Cricetulus griseus: one gene and its partners. The protein of the gene in region 2 interacts with the protein of the main gene of each other region in a pairwise test. Links are inferred from orthologs where the notes say so. Each region holds a gene or a part of one and is shown on either strand. Other genes may lie near its edges.

Region 1 (2,673 bases), on a different chromosome or scaffold from region 2:
GTCGAGGTTATAGGTTTGGACCACCACTTCCAGCTCACTCCTTTCTGAGGCTGTAGCTTGCTGCTTAGCCTCAGGCTGTCCTTGAATTCTCTGTATAACCTAGACTGGCCTCAAATTTTTGCCCCTTCTACTGAAGCCTCCTGAGTCCTGGGACTATAAACATGTACCACCATTCCTTGAAACGTTTCTGAGGACAGAGAGGAAGATTAGTTACCATTTCTCTATTCAGGAACCCAGAAAGACACAGAGGACTGAGAGAAAAGACAAGGTCACATGAGATTGTATTTAGACTGAAGCATGTGTGGGACTGCCAGGGGGTAGGACTGTGTCCAGGAAGCAGATGGATACATAGCTCTAGATCTCATCAGTAAGACCAGAGTGTCATTGACAATTAAATTGAGGACAGTGGGTCTAAGGAAGCAGCCCTTGGTTTTGAGGACTTGGGGGCAACCCTCATTAACTTTGGGGTGCTAGATCCAGAAAGCATGGTTAAAAGGAGAAAAGAAGCTTGGTGGTGGTGGCCTTGTGCCTTTAATCCCAGCAGGGAAGCAGAGGCAGTTAGATCTTTTTAAATTCAAGACAGAGCAACTTCCAGGACAGCCAGGGCTATACAGAGAAACCCTGTCCTGAAAACCCAAAAGTAAATAAATAGAATGAATGAGTGAAAATGGAGGAAAGGATGGTAGACAAATGAGGATGAATGTATATAGCAAAGTAGTTTGTTTTCTTTTTGTTGGTTGGTTGGTTTTTCGAGATGGGGTTTCTCTGTGGCTTTGGAGGTTGTCCTGGAACTAGCTCTTGTAGACCAGGCTGGTCTCGAACTCAGAGATCTGCCTGCCTCTGCCTCCCGAGTGCTGGGATTAAAGGTATGCGCCACCACTGCCCGGCTGGTAGTTAGTGTTCTTAAAGCTTTAAGAGACAAGCATATTTGAATGTTGTTGAGAGATCTTCCTTCAAGGAGGAGGCCCATAGGGATGATCACAGAAAGGTACTTAGAGGCTAAGGAGGGACAGAAAGGACCCTGTCTTCAGACTTCCTGATTCCTCTGCTCTGCCCCACCTTCCAGGAGCCTGGCCCTGCCTCTGTAACAGAGCCTTCCCACTTCCTGCGGGCACACTCCCGCTGTGGCCCTGGGCTCCCACCATCCCGTGTCTCCAGTCCTCAGCTCACCCTGCCAGGTCCCAAAGCTAAGGTGAGAGGTTCTGTGGGGACTAGAAAGGCTATTAGCTGGCCTTTCTTGGGAGTGGGGTACAGAGAACCAACACAGTGCTCCAGGGTCCCCACCATGCTTGCCATGTCCCTTGCAGGGACCAGGCCTGGATGTGGATTTCATTAGTCACAATGCCCGAGCTGCCAAGAGAGCCCCCCGGCGCCATTCACGTTCACTGCAGGTCCTTGCACAGGTTCTGGAACAACAGCGACAAGCCCAGGAGCACTACAATGCCACACAGAAAGGCCATGTGCCCCGTTAGTAGGTTACATGGGCCTGCAAGTATGGTTATGGACCTTTGTGGGGGGTGGGAAACTGTCTGTCTTGGTGTCATCAACCCTGGGCCTGTGCATTTATAGCTTGTTGGAGCGCAGGGATCTGTGGCGGAGGGAAGCTGAAGCTCGCCAGCATAACCAGCCAGATCCTGCCATGCCCCCTGGCCACACACTCATGCCTGAGAATCAGCGGCTAGAGACACTGAACAATCTGCTCCAGAGTGAGTACTTGGGCAAGGGTGGCTGAAAGGGAGCCCAAGGGGCACCATGCACCCCTACCCAGCATTCACTGTTTTCCATGCTCCCTTGTAGGTCAGAGTCAGCTGCTGCGTGAATTAGTTCTGCTACCTGCTGGGGCAGACTCTCTAAGAGCCCAGGGCCACCGTGCTGAACTGGACCAGAAGTTGGTGCAAATAGAAGAGGCTATCAAGATCTTTTCCCGACCCAAAGTCTTTGTGAAGATGGATACCTAAGCCCTGTCTTTGTGGGTAGAATGATAGGGAGATCCACAGTGAGGATTGCTACATGGCTACAAAGTGCAGACTCAAGCCCTGTCACAGTTCCAAAGACAGGAACATTGGGGTGGGCAGTCTCTCTAAAGCACTTCCTAGTCATCAGTAGCTGTAGAAGGACCACCCAGCCTTCCAACTCCTATGTCAAAATTAAACCTTTTGTACACAACAGCTGTTTCCATAGGATCTTTCTTAGAAATGCCAAGTTCAGTGGCTTCCTGCTGCATACTTAGAGGAAGGTCTCTCAAGTGCTGGTATTATCCCTCCTGCCTCATGTCCACAGAGGCCTGACTCACAGGGTCAGGGAAGAGGTTAGGGCTGGGACACAGAACAACCATATCTACATTTGTAGAAAATCTTTAATGTTCTCTATTGAGAGGGCTCTGTGAACAAGCTTATCTTCCCTCCCCAACTGGAAAGTCTATGCCACGTTCCAGCAGCCTAAAGGGTCAAGGGCTGCATCTTTGACTGTTAGAGGCTGAATCCACTAACATCACCTCGTATGTCATTCCCCCAGTCAGAGTTGGCTTGCTCTTGGCTATCCAAGGAGGGCAGAGAGCTGCCAGCACCAGGAAGTAGGCAGCCAGGTTGCAGGTCCCAGCACATGGGTCCCTGAGACAGCCCATTAGAACAAGGAGGGTGGCGGTTTTCAATGACCACGTCACTGCTGTCATCG
Region 2 (4,101 bases):
TAGTAGTTATGAAAGTAAATAGAAGAGAGAGAGCCCTTCATGGTCCATAACCGCTCTTTCTACTCCACACATTACACTCCCCCGCCCCATCCTAGCCTTGGAGATGGAAGCAGAGTTCAGCATAACACAAATATGAACCCAAAATACTGAGACAAGTCTAGGGCCTCAACACAATCAGCAGAGGCCTCTGTATATTAAAGGTTCTTTAAAAAAATATTGACTCACTGCTGCAAGGTGCTAATCATGCTTGGCTAGCCAGACCTAAAACTATGCCACTTTTTATTGGGCATTAAGTAACTGCCCCCATGTTAGCTAAAAATGGGTGAGGTTGTGTATTCAAATGAGTCTGACTCAGATTGTTAGGTTAGAGTGCAATCAATATGATTTATGACTCGACTTAAAATCATCACCATTACTTTCTATGTCTAATTGTGTATGTTTCCATTCAGCTACACATACATTTGGTGAAACAAATTGACTTAAGATCTAAATTACAATAATGATTTGGATCCCAGGGGGACTAATAATGGCAAATTAAGGTTTCTGTAAATTAGTGTTCCCATTTATACCCAGTCAACCCAGTAACCCAATAAAGGATAAATGAAGTGCTTTCATTGAAAAATATAATGCTGAGGTTTATAGAATCCTTTTATCTTCAAAGGACCAAGCCAATACTCACAATACCCAGTGCATAATATTATGCCTTTTATGCAAGGGCAGCAACTGTCAAAGAAAGGTCATACAAATGTCTAAAGGCCATAAAGCCAATGCAACATCACATTTGCAATGGACTCTCTGATCTTGGCTCCAAGACTTGTGTTTCAACCACATGAATCAAGTTTTGTAAGGAACAATCAAGAGAAATTTAATTCACATTATGAGTCTGTATTAAGTTAATTGAGCAGGAATATATAAAAATAACAAAAACTGACTCTCCCTCAGGGCAGTGATGAGTGGGGAGGTAAAAAGGTGTGTGTGTGTGGTGAGGTGCTAAGCCAGGGTATAGCAGAGGCTCCATAAGCAGAAGTGAGAAATATAAACTCTCTATTTGGCAACCCCTTCTCCTGTTGGAATTCTGTCAGAGTTGATTCGATTTCGGAGAGGAAGTAGAATCGAATTAAAGTCAGCCCTTATGGTCCAATTTGAAAATCGGATTAATTAATCCCCACACAACAGTTGTCTATTATTACAATTTCCAGGGTTTTCCTTCATAAATACTCCCCCTCGGAGACACACAACTGCCATTCACCGGCCCCACCCTACAAAATCTTCCAAAAAAGAAAAAAAGCAAAGTGATTGAAAAGCAAGAAGGTGCGTTGCTGGATGATGTGCACAGGTTGGTAGAGAAAAGCCGAGAGTGCGGGGACTCTGGGGAGAGACGTGGGTGGACAAATGTTGTGAGGCAGGAATAAGAGGCATACTAGTGTCAGTGCATAAGGAGTGCCAAGAGAGTGGAAAGTGAGGAGTCCCATCATCTCAGGATCCTAATTGCCTGCTCGAAATAGAAATGCCTCCAAACTAAATAAATAAATAATGTGCTGCACGTGAAGTGCGAAATAACCTAAGCCAGCTCATGGCCAGTAGTGTTACAGTAAATCTGCCTGCCGTTACTTAATTCTTACGAGCCCGAAATGGGAAAAGCCTCAAATGTTCCTGCTTCAGTAGCAGTGTGTCCTGTGGACACCCTCAAGTTTTCCTTCTCCCCCCCCCCCCCACGGCGCTGCTTTCACAGCTAGGCCAGAAATAAGGAACCACCCAGACAGAGACTTGAGGATCCCTTGCTTCCTCCAGCGAAAAGGGGGGATTAAGTTTCTCCCGGGTTCCCGCCGGCTGGGTGTCCGCAGCATCACAGGCTGCTGCGCCAGCACCGCTGAGCAAACCGCCGACCACGGGGCGCCGCCCGGGCCGAGGACGCCGTGGATTGCGGGAGCGTGGGAAGGCGGCTGCGCCCTTTCCCAGACTTGCGCCTGGGCGCCAGGAGAGCCGCTCCACTGCTTTCTCCCGGCTGGGCCTGGCCAAGCGGGAGGCCTCGGGCCGTTCCCCGCCTGGGATCCAGGAGTGCAAACTCCTTCGCACGAGGGCAGTGGCAGGAACCCGGGTCACCACAGTGTGACAGACACCGCGGGCCCCGCTACTGCCGCCTGGAGCCTCGCGGACCCTGTCTCCCCCCCTCCCCTTCCCGCCGAGCCCGGGTATCCTCGGCCAACGCTGGCACCTGAAGAGCAACCGGAGCCGGGGCCGAGCCCTGCGCGGGCGGCGACACTCGACCCCCCCACCCACCCAAGGGCCGCGACGAGGGGACGCATTTTTTTACCCATATTGTTCTCGGGTGCCAGCCATGTCCTACACGCGCCTGGGAGCGTCGGCCGCTCGCTGGCCTCCGCAGCAAGCTGGCTTGGGCTCCCGTGCGAGCTCCCGGGCCGCTGTCGCTGCCGCCGCCGCCACCACCACTCTAGGCCGCCGCCTGCCTTCGCCGCTGCGGCCGCCGCCGCCACCGCCGCGCAGCAGCCGGGATCCGCCAGCCCGCGCGCCCCACAGGGGACAGCACGGAGACCGCGACGTTCCCGCGTCTGGGTCTCCCGGGCGAAACTTGAGAGTTTTCGCCTCTCAGTCCAGAGGCAGCACCATGACACCACCGCAGCACCACACTGTCATTTCCGCCGCCGCAGAGGAAAAAAAAAAAAGCAATCCCTTCGAAAGGAGGGTGGAGTGGGGGCAAGCGGAGCCGAAGCTGACACCCCCAAGGGAGCACTGGGAGGGGCCCGCGCAGAAGGGGCGCTGGGCCACCTTCCTAGGCTCACCTTCCTCCGCCCCCGCCACTCCCAGCTCCCCGTGCCCCTCCTCTGGAGGCGCGCTTACATGTTTTCTCCCCCGGCAGGAGTGACCGGAGAAACCTGAGCAAGCAAAGGCAGCGGGTGGGTGGGGTTCAGATTACTACTGTACCTACCAGCTGATTCCAGCAGCCTTTTCTCCAGCGCCCTGTCATCTTGATGGAAGACACAGGGAAAAGGGGTCTGAGCAGGCGTGTGTGTGTGTGTGTGTGTGTGTGTGTGTGTGTGTGTGTGTGTGTGTGTGTGTGTGTGTGTGTGTGTGTAGTATGCGTGCGTCTGCGAGCGGGTAGTGTGTGTGAAGTGCAGAGGGAAGACTATGGCCAAACTCTTCTCCCACCCACCACCCACTACCTCCACAAACCCCCAGATTAGCAAGGAAAAGGCACCCGCCAATGAGAAGAGTCTGCCTGGAACCTCCGCACAGGTCCTCCTGATGAAGCTGTACTATTGTACTATGCAAAGTTAACTAGAGAGTAAAACTAGAGAGGCATGGAAGAGATAGAGAAGGACAGACAATTGAAGGAAACCCAACCCCTTTCTCTTTTTACAAAGGGAGAGTGGCTGTGTTCTATTGGCCTTGGCCACAAGTTGTTCGGGTGGATTAAAGCCACTGAAAGTGTATGGGGGAGTAAAGGTTTCTTTTGCACCTTCAGACACTTGACAAACAAGACAAGATGGTCATTAACAGAAGGTCAAAGAGGCAGAAGCTAGTCATCCAAGAATGCTAGGTCCCTATTAAGAAGATTGGTCCATTTGGAACCCAGGAGCCTCCCATTGGTCTGGAGTCAGCCTATTTACTATTGACTCAAAGACCACTGCCCCTCTTAAGGTGGATGAGAGAAGGAAGCTGCCCCAGAGGATACTGCTTTAAACTCCACTCAAAAAGAGAGAAGAGGAAAGCAATCACATGAGCCTCCTATTACTGTGCTTGGGAACAAATCCAGAAAAAAAATGAAGGTTGCTGGGTGTGTCTTGTCAGGGAACCAATAGCAGTCACCCAACAGCACTGTTAAACAGTGTGCTAGAGAACTATGGAGTGGAAATGAAGGGGAAAAACCCAACCATGCTACCTTAAGGGAAGTACAGGGCTGAGAGATCTTAAAGTTAATGCGTCATACCCAAAACACAGACAACAAAAGCAAATGACATATGAGACTACATAGCACCTAACACCTACACAATAGAATGCACAATCAACACAGTTGGGAATGGGCGAAAATATTTGAAAACCATACGTGATAAAGGCTTAATATCTAGAATATACAAAGAG
Region 3 (3,517 bases), on a different chromosome or scaffold from region 2:
CAGGCTCTGTCCCGGGAAGTCTTGGGCCCCTCTGTGGTCAAGGCCCTGCCTCAAGGCATGCTGGGAATGGCATTGATGAAGGCACTGTCATGGGGTGAGCTGGGCATCTACCTGTCCCGAGCCCTGTCCCGTGGTGAGCTGCGTCCAGAACTCAGCAAGGCCACACAGGGCAAGCTGGCTGAGGTCCTGTGCAAGGCCTTGACAGAAGATGAGAGGGCCACGCTCAGCCAGGCGCTGTGCCAGGGAGAGCTGGGTGCTGTTTTCACTCAGTCCTTGGCCCAGATGGCCCAGAGGACAGGCGCCTTCCTCCCCAAAGCCACCTCGAAAACGGTGGGAAGCCGGATGACCACGGCGCCTACCCCAATGGAGGTGACTTGCAGCGGGAGCCTGTCGCTGGCATGGGGACCTGCACTGGGCCCCGTAAGAGCACGGTGTAGCAAGGTCAGGCCACCATGGAAGGGCTTGCCCGATGGGATCCTGTGGGGGAAAGGGGATGGGGACACCTTGGAGGGGTCACCCTGCTTGCCACAGTCCCCCATAGGCTCCTTTTCTGGAGGGATGGTCACCAGCACTTACAAGTGTCCCCTAATCACAGTACCCACACTGTCCTGGGAGAGGGGTACAGGACTCTGTTCTGGTCTGTATCTGAGACCATTGGATCTTGACCCCATGGCATGTGGTGAGGGTCCCCATGTCCCCAAGAGACCTTCCCAACAGCCATGTCCTTGTCCGTGGCAGCCACTTGTCACCAATGGTGCAGGCCCAAGCAGTAACCAGCCACCAGTGACTAGTAGCACAGCCCCAAGCTCCCACCAGCCACCAGTGGCCAGCAGGGTGTCCTACCCCTGGGCGTCATACCGAGAGGGCAACATGGCAGCCAGAAAGCATTCAAGTGGCATGGGTGGGGGGAGGTACCCCATGTCCCGGCAGTCCTCCAACCCCTGCCAGGGCCATGTGTGTCAGTGTGGGAAGCTGGGGGTACACAAGATGTCTCCCTGTTGCCATTGCTCTTCCATAATCAAGAGTCTCAGCCCATCGCCCAAGCAGACAATTAGGCAGATCCTACCATCGGGTCACAGACTGGTATCACCGCTGGGTGATAAGGAAATGGTCACCGTAGTGAGGGACATTATAGATGAACAGCGTGACGACAAGTCATCACCAATGTACCTAACTCCCAAGTTGCAAAAAGGTTCCCTCATGTCCACCCCAAAACAGGAGAGACGTCCCCAAGTGTCCTTGTCCCCATCCTGTCCCTGGGGTCAGGCCACTGGCCGCCACATGTCCCTTCTGGATGAGTTACTAGCCACATTCCCACAGCACCCACAGATCGTGTTAGCCAAGCGCTATCCCAGGGGTTCAGATACCCACTGCCAGAGCAGCGCTGGTTCTCACAGTTCCCTGCAGAGTGGCACCTCAGCCTGTCTCTCCACACGATCCAGCCTGACGCCTTCAGAGGCTCTGGGAGGTTGCAAGGACTTGCAGGAGGACTCCCAGCCAGTGTTGAAAGAGTCCAGGAAGACAAGGCACAGGCCGCAGGGGCAGCTGGGAACACAATGGTCGGCTGGTTCTCAGAGCACAGACCCCCAGGTCCAACAGCCGCCCCTGGAGCTTGACTCCGTCTTCTTTCATAGCACCAGCCTGTCTGTGAATGTCCACTGGGACTCAGATAGTGCAGATAGTGGGTCTGACTACAGCGCTGGGAACCCCATGCAGGGACTGTCCGAGGACACGGCTGCACCCTGGCATGGGAGGAGTCAGGCCCACGCTGGAGACCTGCAGCCAAATGGGGTCACTCAGCTGGATTCTGCCCTACCTCAGGACGTATTGGCTGATGAGGGAGCCCCAAGCCCTGGCCAGGCACCTGAAACCAGTGAGGAACCACCATGCCCACACCAACCATTAGAGGACAAGGGACTGTGTCCAAGCTCATCTCAGCCGGCAGGGACCAGTTCTGAGTCGCCAAGCCTGGCCCAGCCATCCATGGACAGTGGGGTGGCCCCAAGCCTGCCCCATCCATCTGTGGCCACTAGGGTGCTCCCAACTTTAGCCCAGCCATCCATGGACACCAGGATGTCCCCAACACTGACAGAAACATTGATGTATTATAGGTTACCTACAGATTTTAGTCAGCCATATCTGTACTATGGAGGGTCCCCAGTCTATACCCAGCCACATATTGCTTCTGGGGATCCCTCAAACTTTACCCAGAATCCTGGTGCTAGTGTGTTGGCCTTAAGCAACCAGGCAGTGAACACGGGGTTAACTTCTAGCCAGGTCCAGCCATGTGCCACTACCCATGTAGCCCCTGTGAACAGCTGGCCGCCACCTGGCTGCTCTTCCATGCCCACACAGGGTTCAGGGCACCCAGACTCAGTTCAGACATCTGTAGCCACCGGGGCGTCCCCTAACTTTTTCCAACCATTTGTACCCTACAGCATGGCATCAAATTTCACCCAACCTTGCATGGCTACACTTGTAACCCCAAACTTTGTGCAGCCGTCTGTGCCCCCCAGCGTGTCTCCAAGCCTAGCCCAGCCTTTTGTGGTAGGTGTTATGTCCCCAACCCTGGCCCATGCATCTATGGCTAACGGGACATCCCCAAACCTCAGCCAGCCAACCACAACCAGCACTGTGGTCCCTGGAGTGCTCCAGGCGCCCCTGTCCCTGTCCAACAGGGTGCCCCCCAGTCTGACCTCCCCACTTCTGGCTCCCAGGGTATGCTCTAATCTTGCCCAGCCATCTGTGGCCACCTTGGGAGCTCTGAGCTTGTTGCCACCCACTGTGGTGTGTGGTGTGGGGCGAGGCATCAGCAAGCCAGCTTTGGGCCCTCAGCAGCTTGCTGAGGACAGCAGTACATCTTCACACTATCGGCAGAGCCAGCCCTCCATGCTCACCCTAGGTGGGTCCTGCCCAGATGTGATGAGCAGGACAGGCCAGCCATCTCTAGGAGTCTGCGGCAGCCCAGGGGACAAATTCATGATAGGTACCGGGACCCAGTCCAGCCCTCGGGATCCCACTGTCCACTCTGAGCCAAAACAGGTCAGCAGGGGGCCCCCAGGTCCTGTGGCTCAGTCCATGGCACCTGCAGAGGATGGCGGCCTGGTCTTAGGGGCCAGTGTCCCATGTCAGAATTGGTTCAGGGGCGTAGTTCCAGGGACACCCCAGGGGCCTGTGGCTACTGGACTGTTCCTAAGCATGTGTCAGGGGCCTAACCCAACCCCCATGGCTGCCTGGACCTTACCAGCAGATGTCCCCTGGACTCAAGAACAGGCTGTTGTGACTACAGGTGTAGGCCAGGGCCCATGCCCAGCTGTGATACCCAGTATACAGGTCCCATCTGAGTTCTTTCCAAACCAGCTGGGCACCAGCATCCCTCAGACCTATGCCCCTCTTCCTGTTACATTAGAGCCCCAGCTCCTCTCTGTGGCCACCATGGTCCCACCCAGTTGCCGATATGCAGGTATGGTCATTCCAGGTGCAGCAGTGGGTTCTGTGGGTAGAGGTTTGGTTCAGG
Region 4 (3,517 bases), on a different chromosome or scaffold from region 2:
ACAAAGTATTTCTCTGGGTGAGGTCTATATCCTGCCTTGACTGCCTTTCTTGAAGTATTGTGACAGGATGTCTGCACAATCGGTGGAAGAAGATTCAGTACTTATCATCCCAAATCCAGATGAAGAAGAAAAAATTCTGAGAGTGAAACTAGAGGAGGATCCTGATGGTGAAGAGGGGTCAAGCATTTCCTGGAATCATCTCCCTGACCCAGAAGTTTTCCGACAGCGGTTCAGGCAGTTTGGATACCAGGATTCACCAGGTCCCCGAGAGGCTGTGAGCCAGCTCCGTGAACTTTGCCGCTTGTGGCTCAGACCAGAGACACACACGAAGGAACAGATACTGGAGCTGGTAGTGTTGGAGCAGTTTGTTGCCATCTTACCCAAGGAGCTACAGACTTGGGTTCGAGAACATCACCCAGAGAATGGAGAGGAGGCAGTGACCGTTCTAGAGGACTTGGAGAGTGAACTGGATGATCCTGGACAGCCGGTGAGCATGCTTGCCTCATTTTGCCCAAATCAGAAACACTAACATAGCAGTTGGGCAAACTGCTGGATTAACTTCACTTGACTAAGTTAAAATTATGTCTATGCCTCCTTCCTTGTCAATCTGCAATATCTGTGCTGCTCTGCAGTTGGAATTGTCTTTGGGCCACCAACCAACTCCCAAATGAAGACACAGAGACTTATTATGAATGCTCGGCCTTGGCTTAGGCTCGTCCCACTAGCTCTTTTAACTTAACATGTTTCTATTCATCTACATTTTGCCTCGGAGCTTTTTACCTTTCTTTCATTCTATATGTCCTACTTGCCTGCTTCCTCCATGGCTGGCTGGCTGGCCCCTGGTGTTTCCCTGTTGCCTTCTTTTCTTTCTTCTGTGAGCCTAAATCCCTCCTCCTACTTACTCTCCCTGCCCAGAAGTTCCACCTGGACCTCCTTCCTCGCTCTTGGCCATTCAGCTCTTTATTAGACTAATCAGGTGCCATACATAGTCAGGCAAGGTAAAACAGCAACACATCTTTACATAGTTAAACAAATATTCTGCAACACGATGCAACACATTAAACAAATATTCCACAACACTGCTTTGCTATCTAGGACTTTGTAGTATATTTTTTGTGGCTTCTTTTATGTGTGCTTAGTATCAAAATTCCTTCTCAACCAAACTAAAATCTTGTTTTCAGGTTTCTCTCCGTCGCCGAAAACGGGAAGTGCTTGTAGAGGAGATATCTCAAGAAGATGCTCAGGGATTACCAAGTTCTGAGCTTGATGCTGTAGAGAATCAGCTCAAGTGGGCATCCTGGGAACTCCACTCTCTGAGGCACTGTGGTGAGGACCAGAACACCATGTGGCTTTTGTCCAAAGTGCTTTGCTTGTTCTATTGGCAAAACACTTTTAAGCTGCTCTTTAGAAATAGCTGTACTGTGAAGAGCTTGACTTTACTGATGATAGACTCACTGGCCTCAGGTGGTTTTACTCCTAGACATTAACATCTTTAGGTTTTCTTTCAGCCTTCTTTCATGAAGACTACCCATATTGTGGCTCACATTTGCCTTATTTTGAGCCAGTGCCTGTAAGACCATGTCTGTTTTGTACATGGTACTGCTTATCTGTTATCTGTTTTATGCTGTTTTGATTTTAGTTCCGTGCCTAACCATATTAATATGGTAAACTTATTTGAAGTCTCCCCCTTTTTATTTGTTTTGTTACTAAAGTCTTCCTAAAATTCCAGCTATTTCTGTTTTTTTACTTCAATATTTTACCTAGTCTTTTTTTTTTTAATTAAGAAACCTCCCCCCCCTTTTAATTTTTTTAGTTTATGTGTATGGGTATTTTGCCTTCATGTGTGACTGTGTAGCATGTACATGCTGGGTGTCCTTGGAAGTCAGAAGATGTTTCTTTAACACGGATCTTTTAATTTATTGTATATTGAACTTTTAAGTGTCATGACTTTTGTTTGTTTATTCTGTTGTTTTGAGACTTGGTCTCATTCTGTGGGCCTGACTAGTCTGAAACTGGCCTTGAAGTCCCAGACATTTGCCTTCCTCTGGCTCCTTTAAGTGCTGGAGTTAATGGAGTCTGCCACCACACCCAGTCCTTGGCTTGTTTCTTAATCAGGACTCATGGTTTCTGTTTTGATTCTAGTATTGGCTGTGACACGATGACTTATTTCAGCAATAACTATTGTTTGACAGATTTTTTTTATACATTCATTTTGATATTTCTTAAAAACCGTTTCTTAATGGCCATTATTTTTCTTCCCAAAGTTTCAGACCTAGCCTGTATCAGTTTGGTTTTTTCCCCTTTATTTTATAATCTATTTGTCACCCTTTTGACTATTTTAAGAAATAGTCAATTTTAATAAAAATAGTATATTGGATTTTTAAAATTTTTTTTTATTGCATGTATGTATGTATATGTGGTGTATATGTATGCTACTTGTTCAATTGCCCAAAGAGGTCAGAAAAGGAAGTCGGACCCCCCCCCCTCCAGACCTGGAGTTGTGATGTTTGTGAGCCTCCCAGTGGGGGTGCTGGGAACTAAGTTTGGGTCCTCTGAAGGATCATGTGCTCTTCATGGCTGGGTGGTGGCACACACCTTTAATCCCAGCATTCGGGAGATTTGGGAGACAGAGGTATGTGGATCTCTGAGTTTGAGGTCATCTTGGTCTACAGAATCAGTTTCAGGACAGCCAGGGATACACAGAGAAACCCTGTCTTGAAAACCAAGAAAAAAATTAAGTAAAAACCTTCTGTGTCATTTTGCTGTCATGTCATTAGCTCATTGATCTCATATCTCCCCGCCCCCTTTTTTTCTTTTTGAGAAGTGTCAAATTTATATATTCATAGATATATACAGTTTTGGTTTTGTTTGTTTTATTTTGTATTTAGTTCATGAAAACCTTTTTTTGTCAGGTGTGGTGGTGCACACTTTTAATCCCAGCATTTGGGAGGCAGAGGTAGGCAGATCTCTGTGAATTCAAGGCCAACCTAGTCTACATAGCAAGTTTTAGGCAAGTTCTTTCCTCTACAAATAGGAACTGAGTGATATTTACATTTTCTCTGTATTTCAGATGATGATGCTAGGACAGAGAATGGAGCACTGGCTCCCAAGCAGGAGATTGCTTCAGCTGTAGAATCTCATGAAGTTCCTGGTACTCTTAATATAGGTGTTCCTCAAATTTTTAAATATGGAGAAACCTGTTTACCCAAGGGCAGATTTGAAAGAAAGAGAAATCCTTCTCGAAAGAAACAGCACATATGTGACGAATGTGGAAAGCACTTCAGCCAGGGCTCAGCCCTTATTCTTCATCAGAGAATCCACAGTGGGGAGAAGCCTTATGGATGCGTTGAGTGTGGAAAAGCCTTCAGCAGAAGTTCCATCCTCGTGCAGCACCAGCGAGTCCACACTGGAGAAAAACCTTACAAGTGTCTTGAGTGTGGGAAAGCCTTTAGCCAGAATTCTGGGCTCATTAATCATCAGCGAATCCACACTGGGGAGAAACCATATGAATGTGTTC

The links.
Region 1: the proteins of Mid2 (region 2) and Enkd1 interact in binary tests that used the Homo sapiens proteins (3 or more experiments, as listed by UniProt). The link is inferred for Cricetulus griseus from reciprocal best matches to the Homo sapiens genes MID2 and ENKD1.
Region 3: the proteins of Mid2 (region 2) and Iqcn interact in binary tests that used the Homo sapiens proteins (3 or more experiments, as listed by UniProt). The two-hybrid records come from large-scale screens. The link is inferred for Cricetulus griseus from reciprocal best matches to the Homo sapiens genes MID2 and IQCN.
Region 4: the proteins of Mid2 (region 2) and Znf24 interact in binary tests that used the Homo sapiens proteins (3 or more experiments, as listed by UniProt). The two-hybrid records come from large-scale screens. The link is inferred for Cricetulus griseus from reciprocal best matches to the Homo sapiens genes MID2 and ZNF24.

The regions. Positions count from the first base shown.
Region 1 is NC_048596.1:181,985,787-181,988,459, reverse strand, and holds the end of Enkd1 (enkurin domain-containing protein 1), read left to right. Parts: intron 1-1,066; coding exon 1,067-1,192; intron 1,193-1,307; coding exon 1,308-1,471; intron 1,472-1,569; coding exon 1,570-1,706; intron 1,707-1,797; coding exon 1,798-1,958; 3' UTR 1,959-2,166; downstream 2,167-2,673. Other genes in the region: Pard6a (partitioning defective 6 homolog alpha), read right to left, coding at 2,469-2,673. UniProt on the Homo sapiens protein: Microtubule-binding protein which regulates microtubule organization and stability. Promotes the stability of astral microtubules and facilitates the proper orientation of the mitotic spindle.
Region 2 is NC_048604.1:39,661,735-39,665,835, forward strand, and holds the start of Mid2 (probable E3 ubiquitin-protein ligase MID2), read right to left. Parts: upstream 2,816-4,101; 5' UTR 2,319-2,815; coding exon 2,315-2,318; intron 1-2,314. UniProt on the Homo sapiens protein: E3 ubiquitin ligase that plays a role in microtubule stabilization. Mediates the 'Lys-48'-linked polyubiquitination of LRRK2 to drive its localization to microtubules and its proteasomal degradation in neurons.
Region 3 is NW_023276806.1:248,292,494-248,296,010, reverse strand, and holds part of Iqcn (IQ domain-containing protein N), read left to right. Parts: coding exon 1-441; intron 442-3,517. UniProt on the Homo sapiens protein: Essential for spermiogenesis and fertilization. May be required for manchette assembly in elongating spermatids.
Region 4 is NC_048595.1:213,157,236-213,160,752, forward strand, and holds part of Znf24 (zinc finger protein 24), read left to right. Parts: 5' UTR 1-67; coding exon 68-487; intron 488-1,181; coding exon 1,182-1,326; intron 1,327-3,070; coding exon 3,071-3,517. UniProt on the Homo sapiens protein: Transcription factor required for myelination of differentiated oligodendrocytes. Required for the conversion of oligodendrocytes from the premyelinating to the myelinating state.